Linked DNA regions of Rattus norvegicus. The protein of the gene in region 3 interacts with the protein of the main gene of each other region in a pairwise test. Links are inferred from orthologs where the notes say so. Each region holds a gene or a part of one and is shown on either strand. Other genes may lie near its edges. The genes, in order: Zmynd11, Gem and Pdlim7.

Region 1 (3,667 bases), about 56 Mb from region 3:
GTGCATGTGTGCACAGAAGTACATGATACATGAAATGGATGGAAGCATGTCAAACATAGTTGGTGTGTGAATTCCATAGCACGTGTGCACGTATGTGTAAAAGTACATGATACATGAAGTGGATGGAAGCATGACAAACATAGTTGATGTGTGAATTCCATAGCACGTGTGCACTTATGTGTAAAAGTATATGGTACATGAAATGGATGGAAGCATGACAAACATAGTTGGTGTGTGAATTCCAATGGTACTTAGAAGGGCGCAGTCATCAAGTAAGAATGCCATTTTTAAACATGGTAACGGGAACATCCTTTTCTGCTGTGAACTATGCATGCAACCACATGGCAGGTACAGAGAAGCTTATCCCCAGGAAAACACTCTAGCTAGAAGCACAGAGATGAAACAAACTACTACTCAGATCTAGCATGAATGGCTGTAAATATCTCAGAAGTAGAAATGTCTTCATTAACATGTGTCCCTACAGTAGAGCACAGTCCATCTATACAGCCTGCCCACAGCCACAGTCCCATGAAATTCAAAGAATTCAAGTGTGGGGTCACACTTGAGCCATCAGAGCACAGTGACAGAATCAGAATGAAGATGGCTGTGGAATTTATAGATTAAAATAACGAAAACAAGATACAGGCAGAACCACAGCATTACATAGACTAGACAAGATACTTAAGGAAATACCAGGCTATACACCAGTAATGTCAAAGGCCAGAACTCTTAATGCATGTCTTTTACTTAATTTTTAACAATGGGCTGCTCACCAGTCACAGAAATAGCAAACAAGGTCTTAACAGGAACTTGCCTGGGGGGCTTGGGTAAAGTAAGGTAATTTTAAATTTAAAAGATACCTTGTGTTCTGACATGAAGGAAGAGGAGCATCTTGATTCCTGACCTTCTAACAGTGCAGAGCAGGAATCCCAGATCGCAGAGCAGACCTACTTGCTGCCACCACCAGTGCTGCTTCCTAGCCAGCCTCACGCAGTGGGACATCCAGGGAAGTGGCATCAGCCAAGAGGCAAGGCACTGTGTGGGGCATTTCCTAGGCAGTCCTCTGCTTCATGGATTTTTAAGAGGAGACTTATAATTCATGACCACCTGCTGGTCAACAAATTTATCTGTATTTAAGAATTATAGAGCTTAAGCAAAAAGTAAATATGGCTTGGGTTACCATTCGAAGTTATACTGATGAAAAAAGAGGAAAAGTCAAATCTCATTATGATCCATGATTCAAAGGAGATATGTATGGTCCCAATGACTGTCTCTGTGGTGTTCACTAGTTTCACCTATGCCAAACATGCACTCGTATGTGTTAAGTAGCCAGCAGATGCATGCACGATTACTAAAAGCGTTAGCCCTTTCCCTCCTACACCAGCAGGTCACCCAGCCTAACAGCAGCACTCCTGATGAGACTCCTGGAGTGCTTAGTAGGTGCCCTGAGATGCCCGAGAAACACCACAAAGGAAAAGAGAGGTAACCATGTGAGCAACTGAAACTGTTCAAATGTGCACGCTTAAGAATGCCTTAAATTTTTGATACAAATTACAGGATCTTATTTTTTAATTTCAATGTTCTGCTATAAAAATTTCAGCTATGGCTTTTACAAATCTCAAGGACATACTTAGTATCTTTATTGTTTGCGATTTATTTTTAACCCAGGGAAGGGAATTGAGCCTAGGGTCTCACCTGTGAAATATGCGTTTACCACTGATCCATGTTACATCCCCAGCCGGCGGTTTTTGAAAACTATCTGTATTAGTATCACCCGCTATTCTGTACTTAGTTACCAGCTCTCAAAGTGCTTGCTTTTTAAAAATAAAATATGTATTAAGTAATAATTAAAGCAATGTACTATTTATTTAGTCATCTTTTCCACATTTGGGGGCATCGTTTTCTTTCTTTAGCCCAAAGGAGGTAGGGCTGCAGTTGACTTCAGGAAGCCTCTTCATCTTCAAATATGGGGACAATGTTAAGAATGCATGGGGTTCAACTCCATTACCTATTAATAACAGTTCCAAAGCACGGTGTAAGTCAGCTATTATAAATCTCTTACTTTTAATTTTTAGATACCATCTAACAAATATAAGGCAGGATGAGAATTAAAAGATTCTATTCAAATTAACAAAAAAAAATCACATAAGCTGTTAAAATGTTACATCAGCTTTACTTTTAAAAGAGCATTCAGAGAATTAAAAGAGAATCAAACTCCTAACTGCCTTCATAATACAAAATAAGCAAAAAGATGTTTTGCTATACTGAATCTTTGTCTACTAAGACAAATAGCACTGAAACTAAGGAGAAAAGGAAAGGGGAGTTTTCTTTTTTAACTGAATGTGTGTTCAATCTCATTTATTCTAGTTATAAAGTACTCAAAATATTATTTACTATATGAAGCCTGTTCATCTCCATTGAGATAAGCCATGAACAAAAGCTTTTGTTTAGACAGCTTCACTACAATAAAGCAAATGTCTTAATAATCCTTTTAAATAAAATTTTCTTAGGGCAAAAAAATGTATAATTGAAAATCTACTATAAGCAGACTATACTGATCTTTACTTAGCTAACATTCATTTACAAGGCTTCTAAATACAAATTGTCTATATGTGTTTCTGCTATTGTTCCTGTTCTGTAGTCTTCTGCAAGGCAACCGTCACTTTAGTTCCTTGTATGAACTGCACAGAAGATAAGGCATTTGGGGACTTTACAGTGGTGCTTTTGTTTAAATTTACTTACTTTGTAATACGATCAATGTTGGCAATCTGCTTCTGATTCCTGATAATTTCAATGGCTGCCCAAAGATGCTGGATAGCTTTTGTGTCCGCCTGTCGTCTTTTTGTTAAACGTGCCATGACCTGTTTACTTCTTTAGCTGTAGCAATATATAAAAACATAAGGCAGAAAACATGGATTACCGAGGGAATTTCCAACACAGGAGCCACAGTCACAGCACTGCCTGACGCTGGTCATTCTTAAGTGAAATGTGGTGTTGTGGCTTTCCATTTTCTACCTTTCAAGTTGCACTTCTACCTAATAAAAGCAAGCATTCACTTGGTTACCTCTATAAAGAATAATCTAAAATCCAAATCACTTTAAAAGGCACTTAAAAAGCTAGGAGAAGTTTACCTCTTTCCAATGTCAATCAATCAATCAATAGATAAATAAAGGCATTTAATGTTTATTCTAAACCACACCAGACTTCAGCATTACACTGTGTGAAATCAAGCAGTGCACAATGGAATTTATAGGTCATAATTGTTTGGTATTTCAGGTTTTTATGATCATAGCTTTAGAGAATTCGGTTTTATATACATATGAAACCAATGTATAAAAAAAAACAAGCAATAGCCAGACATGGTGATGGTGCATGGTGCAGCACACTTGCAGTCCAAGCACTTAGGAGGTGGAAGCACAAGAATTAGCACAAATTCAAAATCAACCTGATCTAAAGTGAGTTCCATGCCAGTCAGAACTGCATAGCAAGAAACAAACAATGAATAGAGAATCCAAGTTGTTCTGAGGTAAAATATGAAAGGCCAAGAGCTAGGATACCAGATCACAAATTATCAGTAATGACCCAACTGCCAGAATAGGTGTTCATTTCAGAACTAATAATCACATTATTAGGAAATATCACTATTATTCAAATGTTGGTATCTGGA
Region 2 (3,749 bases), on a different chromosome or scaffold from region 3:
TCCCTTCCCATCCAGTTAACAATGAGGAGAAACGTTTCCGGTGAGGAGCAGTATCCAAGCATTATGGTTCCAAGAATATACTTTCAGTTTGGCTGTCTCCTTCCTGAGTGGCCGTCATCCCTCTGGGACTCCACCTTTGAGACTAAGGCGCTCTAAATCTTTCTTATTCGGTGGATTCTACCTTTGCCAACTTGGTTCCTGACAGGCCTCAGAAGCTGGTCACTTGGATAATTCCCAGATCGCATAGATGCCTTCGGGAGAACTGGGACACCATTGTAACCACAGAGCAGCCCAGCCACTCCAACAGACAGTGGTGCTGGCTGTTTCTTGAGGAGTCACCGGCCAACCCACAGCAGACGCTGGCTGGAGAAGCAGATGGATTTGTTGGAAAAGCTAGCATGGAGTCTAAACACAGCATGTGGGAAATGCCCATGTCCTGGGGACGCTCATGTCCTGGGGAAGAGGCCACTTAGCAGTGCAGTTTAAAAGGTACTTAAACTAGGCTCTGAATGTTGCCTCTGCCTCCACCCTGACCTTAGGCAGGTTCCCTTGTAGCGAGACTTGTTCTCAGTCCACAACTGTAGTAAGGAGCAAGGTTCTCTGGGCCCACCAGAACCACAGGTCTTTGCAAGTCTTTGCAAAGGGTTGTAGCAATAGGACTCTCTGAGGGAATTGAGCCTGCTTCTCCCCATGGCTGGGAAGCCCTGGCTCCAGGCCACATCCAGCCATGCTAAGCAGCTCGGTTCTGAGATGCACCGATCGGGGTGTGATTAAATTTCTGATTGGCATTGTGGCCAGACCAGGAGGACAGCAGTGTTTAGCGCAAGCTGCTTGGAGCCAAACTGCCCTTTTTCAAGGTCTTCCCCACTCTTTTCTCTGGCCCGTTCTCTTTGGATCTCTGCAGGAAAAGGGAAACTGTGTGTCCCCAATCCAGAGAGAAGGTGACAGGAAGCAGGAAGGGCCTGGTTGCTTTTCAGAGCATGCTGTAAAGGTGGCCTGTCCACTCAGGTGGCTGTAGCCCCATCCTGGAGGCCGGAGTCCCGCTCACTCTGATGGGTCTGTTTTCTTGGCACAGCTGGACTCGCGACTCAGGCCTGCTTCTTTCCCCATCCTTTATTCAGACAGCTCACAAGTGCTCTGCTGGGAAGGGCGATTAAGATGCACTAAGTGTATTTTTCCAGTGTCCACCTGATAAAAAGAAAATAAAACAAAATCAAGGAGGCCAACGTTTGAACTGTCTTTTTTTCCCTCACACTCTCCTCAAGGGGCTAAGGGAGTCACATGACTACGAGTAAATGATTTAGCCAAGTGGCTGCAACTCCGAGTTTGCTGCAGAGCCGCCCCCTCCCGGCGGGAGCGCTGACGTCACGGAAAAGCCCCGTCGCGGGGCTGCCGGGCGCGCTATAAACGGCGGCGGGCCGCGGAGGCTTCAGGAGGCGGCACTGCCAGCGGACATCACACAGCCTTAGACTGCGGAACCCGCATCGGCAGGCGGCAAGCATTGCAGCAGGCAGCAGGCATTGTCCGGACCGACGGCAAACGCCCACCCAGCGCCCAGTACAGCCAAGTAAGGGGACATGGATGAGGGGCAGTCCCAGTGGGACCCTCCGCGGGAAGGGGCGTTCCTGGTCACTGAACTTTTTAAGTTGGGAAGGGAGACCCTAGACCATGAAGTCTGTGCCAGGGGTTCTCCCATAGGAGAAAGAAGTTCAGGTGCAAAGGATGCGCTTCTGATGGGGGTTCCTTAATTCAATTCCGGAGGAGTGTCACCTTACAGATTAGGTGGCCAGGCGGCAGACTTCAAGGTCTCAACACAACTCTGTCAACCCAGGGATTGTTTTTAAGATTTAAAAAGAAACCGGCTTGTTCTGTCTAGTGGTATAGGTGTCATGTGTGAGCGGAGTGCTATCCCTGCACTCACGCGCGGGGAGCTTGTTGAGTTAACCATGGAGTGGATGCTGCTGTGTTATCTCGGGCAGTCTTGGCAAAACGGACTGCCTGTCAGCAGGGGAGGCGGTCTTGCAAGGAGAAAGTTGTAGGAAGTTGAGTGGCTTTTCCCTGAATCTCTGACCTTCTGATTTACTTCAAAAAGGTGGAATTCTGAGCTAATTAAATCTTGGACTGGACAAGATTCCTTAAGAATGAAGCACTTTTTGTACAAGTTTGATGTATCTGAACGTGAGCAGGTCCTTCCCCTGTCAGAAGAACCAGGCTCAGGGCTGGTTATGCTAAACAGTATCTGTGGGTGAGAGAGCAGAGCTGAGGCATAAACCTCAAACTGTCCCACTCCCCAAATAACGGTCTCTTCAGGCAGCTGGAGAACATCAGGGCAACTTTACTAAACATGGAAGTTCCCCCAAAGCGCCTGTCCAGTCCAGCCAGGGGAGTGATGTCATTGCCACGTGTTTCCCACTGAGGCACAAAAGACTGCAGGACACTGGGCAGTGAAGAGCCCTGTTTAGACAAGAACAGCTAACCTGGCCAGCTGGTCCCTAGCAGTACTGACTTGTTGCTGATGGTAAAGCCATTTCTGGAGGCAATGGGTTCCTTCCAGATTCCTCTGTGCCAACTTCCAGTGGGATTTTCCTTCAAGGATGGAGGAAGCTTTTGAGCAATGGATGGTGTTACTGGTACTACAAATGACAGCCTGAGTGAGAAGCTAGTCACCGTGTGTGTGTGTGTGTGTGTGTGTGTGTGTGTGCGCACTCGCGCTGTTGTTGTTGTTGAAGACTTTGCTTGCCAGGCTTAGGAAGAGTTTCATGGTTGTTCCTTACGTTAAGAATTCATACCTATCCAGTGAAGAACCCCTGATGACAGTATTGAGACTCCCTGGGCCTGGCTCATTCTTAACAATGTCGCCATCTTTACTGCTCTGATTCCCAGGATCCCACAATGACTCTGAATAACGTCACCATGCGCCAAGGCACTGTGGGCATGCAGCCACAGCAACGCTGGAGCATCCCTGCTGATGGCAGGCATCTGATGGTCCAGAAGGATCCCCACCCCTGCAACCCCCACAACCACCACTCCACTGCTCCCGATGACCACTGCCGGCGGAGCTGGTCCTCCGAGTCCACAGACTCGGTTATCTCTTCCGAGTCAGGAAACACCTACTACCGAGTGGTGCTTATTGGGGAGCAAGGAGTGGGCAAGTCCACCCTGGCCAACATCTTTGCAGGTGTACATGACAGCATGGACAGCGACTGTGAGGTCTTGGGAGGTAGGTGGCCCAGTTCCCGGTGCTGTTCTGTCTTGTAAGCAGGAAGAGCAAGAGGGAGTGGGTCGTTTCCCTGCAGAATTGGGAGCCAGGCATAATGGTACACATTTGTAATCCCAGCACCGTGAAGGAAGAAGCAGAAGGACTAGGAAGTCAAGGTCATCTTCAGCTACATAGAGAGGTTTGAGGCTAGCCTGGGCTATGTGATTCTGTCTCAAAAAACCAACAAATTAAAACAAAACGTTATCTTCAGAATTAGGGGAGAAACGCATGCCTTCTCAGTACTGAGATGGGAGACAGAAACCTACCTACTGGCACAGAGCCCAGCGCGCGCGCGCGCGCGCGCGCGCACACACACACACACACACACACACACACACACACACACAGAGGAATATGTGTACACAGTGACCCAAGTTATCAAGAGGCTTTCTGAAGGTCAGGTCTGGGAGGTTCCAGAAAGGCTGACTCTGCCCTGGACCAGTTTTGGAGAGTTCATCACCACAGATAATTTTCCTGTGACTATGCATAA
Region 3 (3,649 bases):
GGAATGATTACGTGACTCAAGCCAAGCCAATGAGCATCAGTGCTGGGACGGCTGGGTGTCGAGTGGGACTGAGGTGTTTTCTCTCCTATGGAGCTAACCGGGGGAAATGGAACCTCACAGGCAGAGTGGCACTGCTCTTGCCGGTTTCCAGAGGAAAGCATGCTGTGACTGAAGGAAGGCCAAACCGACAAAAGGTAAAAACAGGCAAACTCAGGAGATCACGGAGCCAAGGCTCAGAGGCATCTGGAGTCAGCACCTCCAGTCCCTGAAGCTGGCTCCTTTCCTGTGCTTAAGCTTTTTTTTTGAATAAGAGTTTGGTATTTTAGGCTGGGAAGATGGCGGCTCAGTTGTTAAGAGGACCTGAGCTTCATTTCTAGCACTCGCGCGGTAAGTCACAGCCATCTGTGATTCCAGAGGACAGTGTCCTGTGACCTCTGAGAGTACCAGTCGTGTGAATGTGGTGCACATACACATGTGCAGGCCAAACAGTTGATACAGGTAAAATAAATAAAAATATAAACAAGTAGCTGATCTTTTAAGATATCCTGGCTGGCGGGGCGGGAATGGTGTACACCTTTAATCCCGGGACTTAGAGGGCAGAGGCAGGAGGATCTCTGTGAGTTCAAGGCCAGCCTGGTCTACAGAGCGAGTTTCAGGACAGCCAGGGCTACACAGAGAAACCCCATCTAGAAGAACTGAAAAAAAAGAAAAGTATCCTGCCTGATATAAAGTGAAGCCATTGATAGAATGTTTCCGCTTTTTTTAGGCAGTCTCACTACGTAGCCTAGGCTGGGCTGTCGGTCATGATCCTCTTGCCTCTGCTTTCTGAGTGCTGGGATTAGAAGTCAACGCCACTGTGCCTGATGAGGCTGCCAGAAACAGAACTAGGGCCTTGTGCGTGTGACACAGGTGCTCTACCACTGAGCTACACTCTCTGCTGTTAGGCTGTTTAGGAGTCTGGGGATTCCTGCTGAGAACTGCACATCTAACAGCTGCTCAACAGTGCTCAACACTGCTAACATTTCACTTTCTCCCTTGCCCTCTGCCCCTCTGCCCACCTGCATCTCCTGCCCACCTGCATCTCCTGCCCACCTGCATCTCCTGCCCACCTGCATCTCCTGCCCACCTGCATCTCCTGCCACCTGCTCACCTCTCTCTTCCACCCTCTTGCCCACCTGCATCTCCTGCCCACCTGTACCTCTTGCCCACCTGCATCTCCTGCCCACCTGCATCTCCTGCCCACCTGCCAGCCCCACTCACTCCAGTGATCTTCTTCTTGCATTTGGCACAGCTGGGTGCATAGCGCACATCATAGCAGGAGGGGCAAAAGATAGCTCCCTTCTCCTCGAAGAAGCCACCCTCTTCCAGGACCTTCCCACACTGGCTGCACACAAATTCCTCAGGATGGTACGCGTGGCCCAGTGCTACCAGGTATCGGCCGCTGCAGGGAGAGGGAATGCATGCAAGTGAGGTAGGGGCTCCAGGAGGAAGACAGGAGCGGTGTTTCCTCCCTTCAGAAGACCCTTGTTCTCACAGGAGCTGCTTGTTCATGTAAGCAAGATGGGGCAAACGTATACTCGCTCTTGATGACAGAGGCACCTTGGTTTGGGTGGAAGCTGATGGCTTGAGTCTACCAAGACACCCCTGGGGGACTACTGCCCAGTGTGAAGATGAAGAAATGATGAGACCCTGATGAATGCCCAGTCCTGACTGCCTGTTCCATTTGGCCTAAGCAGACATCTGCAGGCCTGAGATTAAACAGGGGTGTCAGAAGGAGGGGATGCTTTACAAATCCTCTCTGCCTGAGAGCTGAGGGCAGAACAAGCAGGCCAGGGACAGGACCAACAACTAGGAAGGCTCTGGAATCTGACTCTGAGGGGGCTGTGTGACTTGGCTGGGTTCCAGTAAGCAGTGTACAGAGGGAGGTACGTGTGGCCTATCGGTTCTGAGAGCAGAGGCTCGGCAGAGAGCAAGCCCGAGGAGGAAGCAGCAGAGAGGGAGGCCCTTCTTTATTCAGAGAGCCGGCGAAGCGACAGACACTGCTTCAGGGTGCTGCTAGCACCTTCATGCTTCCCCTGCTACAGCCGGGTGTGAGCGTGGTGGGAAGTGCAAGATTAAGAACCTGAGGATTGGGGGCTGCAGAGATGGTTCAGCAGCTGAGAGCACTGGCTGCTCTTCTGCAGGACTCAGGTTTGATTCCCAGCACCCACACGAAGGCTCACAGCCATCTAAATGCCATCTGATTCCAGGGGAATCCAACCCCCTGCTCAGTGTCTGTGGGCACCAGGCATGCAAGTGGTGCACAGACACACATCCAACTGAAACACCCACATACAAAACCACGAAAATTTAAAAAGATCTGAGGATCCAGACCAAATCCTTAACTCTCTTAGAGCAGCAGCAAAGGTAGGATAGGTACATGAGACACGACAGGGTCAGGTTACAGGGCAGGAAAGATCAGCATTAGAAAGGAATACTCACCGGATGATCTTGTGGCACTGGTGGCATACAGGCGTCTTGCCATTGTTGCTGCCTCCTCCTGTGCCCCCTCCAGCTGCAGCCTGAACTATGGAGGTGCGGTTCTGCAGAGGCGTAGGTGTGGCTGGCTGGCTGTGTCGGGTCAGCACTGTGCTGGTTTTGTCTGGGGCATAGCGCTCAGCAAATGCAGGATCTACGGCCCAGGGTGGGCGGCTGGTGGGGCTGGGGGTGGTGGGGCCTGACAGCCAAAGAAAGTAGATCCAGAGGGGTACTCAGGAAGCCCAAAGGGCAGAGGGTAGAACCCAGGGTAGCCTTAAAAGCCCACCACCCCTATGTCCATGGAGGCTACCCACCCTTCTTCAGCCCCAAGCCCAGTGTCTTACCAGGCCAGGATTCCTGGGGTATGGTTGAGGCTGGGGCTGGGGCTTCTGTCCTGGGCACCTGGCTGTAAGATCTGCCATTCAAGGCCCTGCCTGGCTGAGGCTTTGGGCATGGTCCCACCCCCTAAGTTCAGCTGTGCTGCCCCCTTGGGTGATGCTTAAATGCATCAAGAACTGCTGGGATGTATTCTAGGTCCCTCTGGGCTAGAGGTAGGAAGGGGTGCTCCCCCCTATGAAGGGTACAGCTATCTGGGCTGCTGTGTAGAGTGTGGAAGCAGAGTGTGCTCCTTCTCCTAGGGCAAGCCTTGGGTCTCCTTATCCAGGAGAACCATGGGTAAGGCAGAGCCACCCTGCATCTTGGTTAGGTACTCCCTCCCACCAAGAAGCAGGCTGCAGGACCCATACCAAGTCTAAACCATTTAGCATCCCAAACCCAAAACATAACCAGACCCAAAAGATGGGAGACAGAGGCAAAGGAAGCAGGACTGAGAATGTTTATTCCCACGCTCAAGGCAGCGCAGACCTGGCAGACAGCAGTACCACAGGGCCAAGAAGGAAGGCAGTGTCAGACGAAGCCAGGCCCTGTGCCAGACGGGCTGCCGGGACCAGGCCAGCAGGAGGTTCAGGCCAGGGCTGTGAAAGCAGTAGGTGAGAGCTGGAGGCACCCGTGGGGTGCCCTGGGAGGGAGTAAGAGAGAAGAAAGCAGAGGGCAGCAGGCTGAGCAGGGCCAGGCTAGGACTGCACGTTGAGCACGTGGGCAGAGCGCTGGTGGTGCCAGTCCCGGAGACGTG

Evidence for each region.
Region 1: the proteins of Pdlim7 (region 3) and Zmynd11 interact in a two-hybrid assay, tested with the Homo sapiens proteins (2 studies listed by BioGRID). The link is inferred for Rattus norvegicus from reciprocal best matches to the Homo sapiens genes PDLIM7 and ZMYND11.
Region 2: the proteins of Pdlim7 (region 3) and Gem interact in binary tests that used the Homo sapiens proteins (3 or more experiments, as listed by UniProt). The two-hybrid records come from large-scale screens. The link is inferred for Rattus norvegicus from reciprocal best matches to the Homo sapiens genes PDLIM7 and GEM.

The regions. Positions count from the first base shown.
Region 1 is NC_086035.1:65,268,931-65,272,597, reverse strand, and holds the start of Zmynd11 (zinc finger MYND domain-containing protein 11), read right to left. Parts: upstream 2,878-3,667; 5' UTR 2,859-2,877; coding exon 2,743-2,858; intron 1-2,742. UniProt on the Homo sapiens protein: Chromatin reader that specifically recognizes and binds histone H3.3 trimethylated at 'Lys-36' (H3.3K36me3) and regulates RNA polymerase II elongation. Does not bind other histone H3 subtypes (H3.1 or H3.2).
Region 2 is NC_086023.1:30,010,211-30,013,959, forward strand, and holds the start of Gem (GTP-binding protein GEM), read left to right. Parts: upstream 1-1,430; 5' UTR 1,431-1,567; intron 1,568-2,883; 5' UTR 2,884-2,892; coding exon 2,893-3,220; intron 3,221-3,749. UniProt on the Homo sapiens protein: Could be a regulatory protein, possibly participating in receptor-mediated signal transduction at the plasma membrane. Has guanine nucleotide-binding activity but undetectable intrinsic GTPase activity.
Region 3 is NC_086035.1:9,136,242-9,139,890, reverse strand, and holds part of Pdlim7 (PDZ and LIM domain protein 7), read right to left. Parts: coding exon of another isoform or gene 3,591-3,649; exon of another isoform or gene 3,335-3,590; intron 2,924-3,334; coding exon 2,862-2,923; intron 2,717-2,861; coding exon 2,482-2,716; intron 1,442-2,481; coding exon 1,261-1,441; coding exon of another isoform or gene 1,199-1,260; intron 1,133-1,198; coding exon of another isoform or gene 1,016-1,132; exon of another isoform or gene 1-1,015. UniProt on the Homo sapiens protein: May function as a scaffold on which the coordinated assembly of proteins can occur. May play a role as an adapter that, via its PDZ domain, localizes LIM-binding proteins to actin filaments of both skeletal muscle and nonmuscle tissues.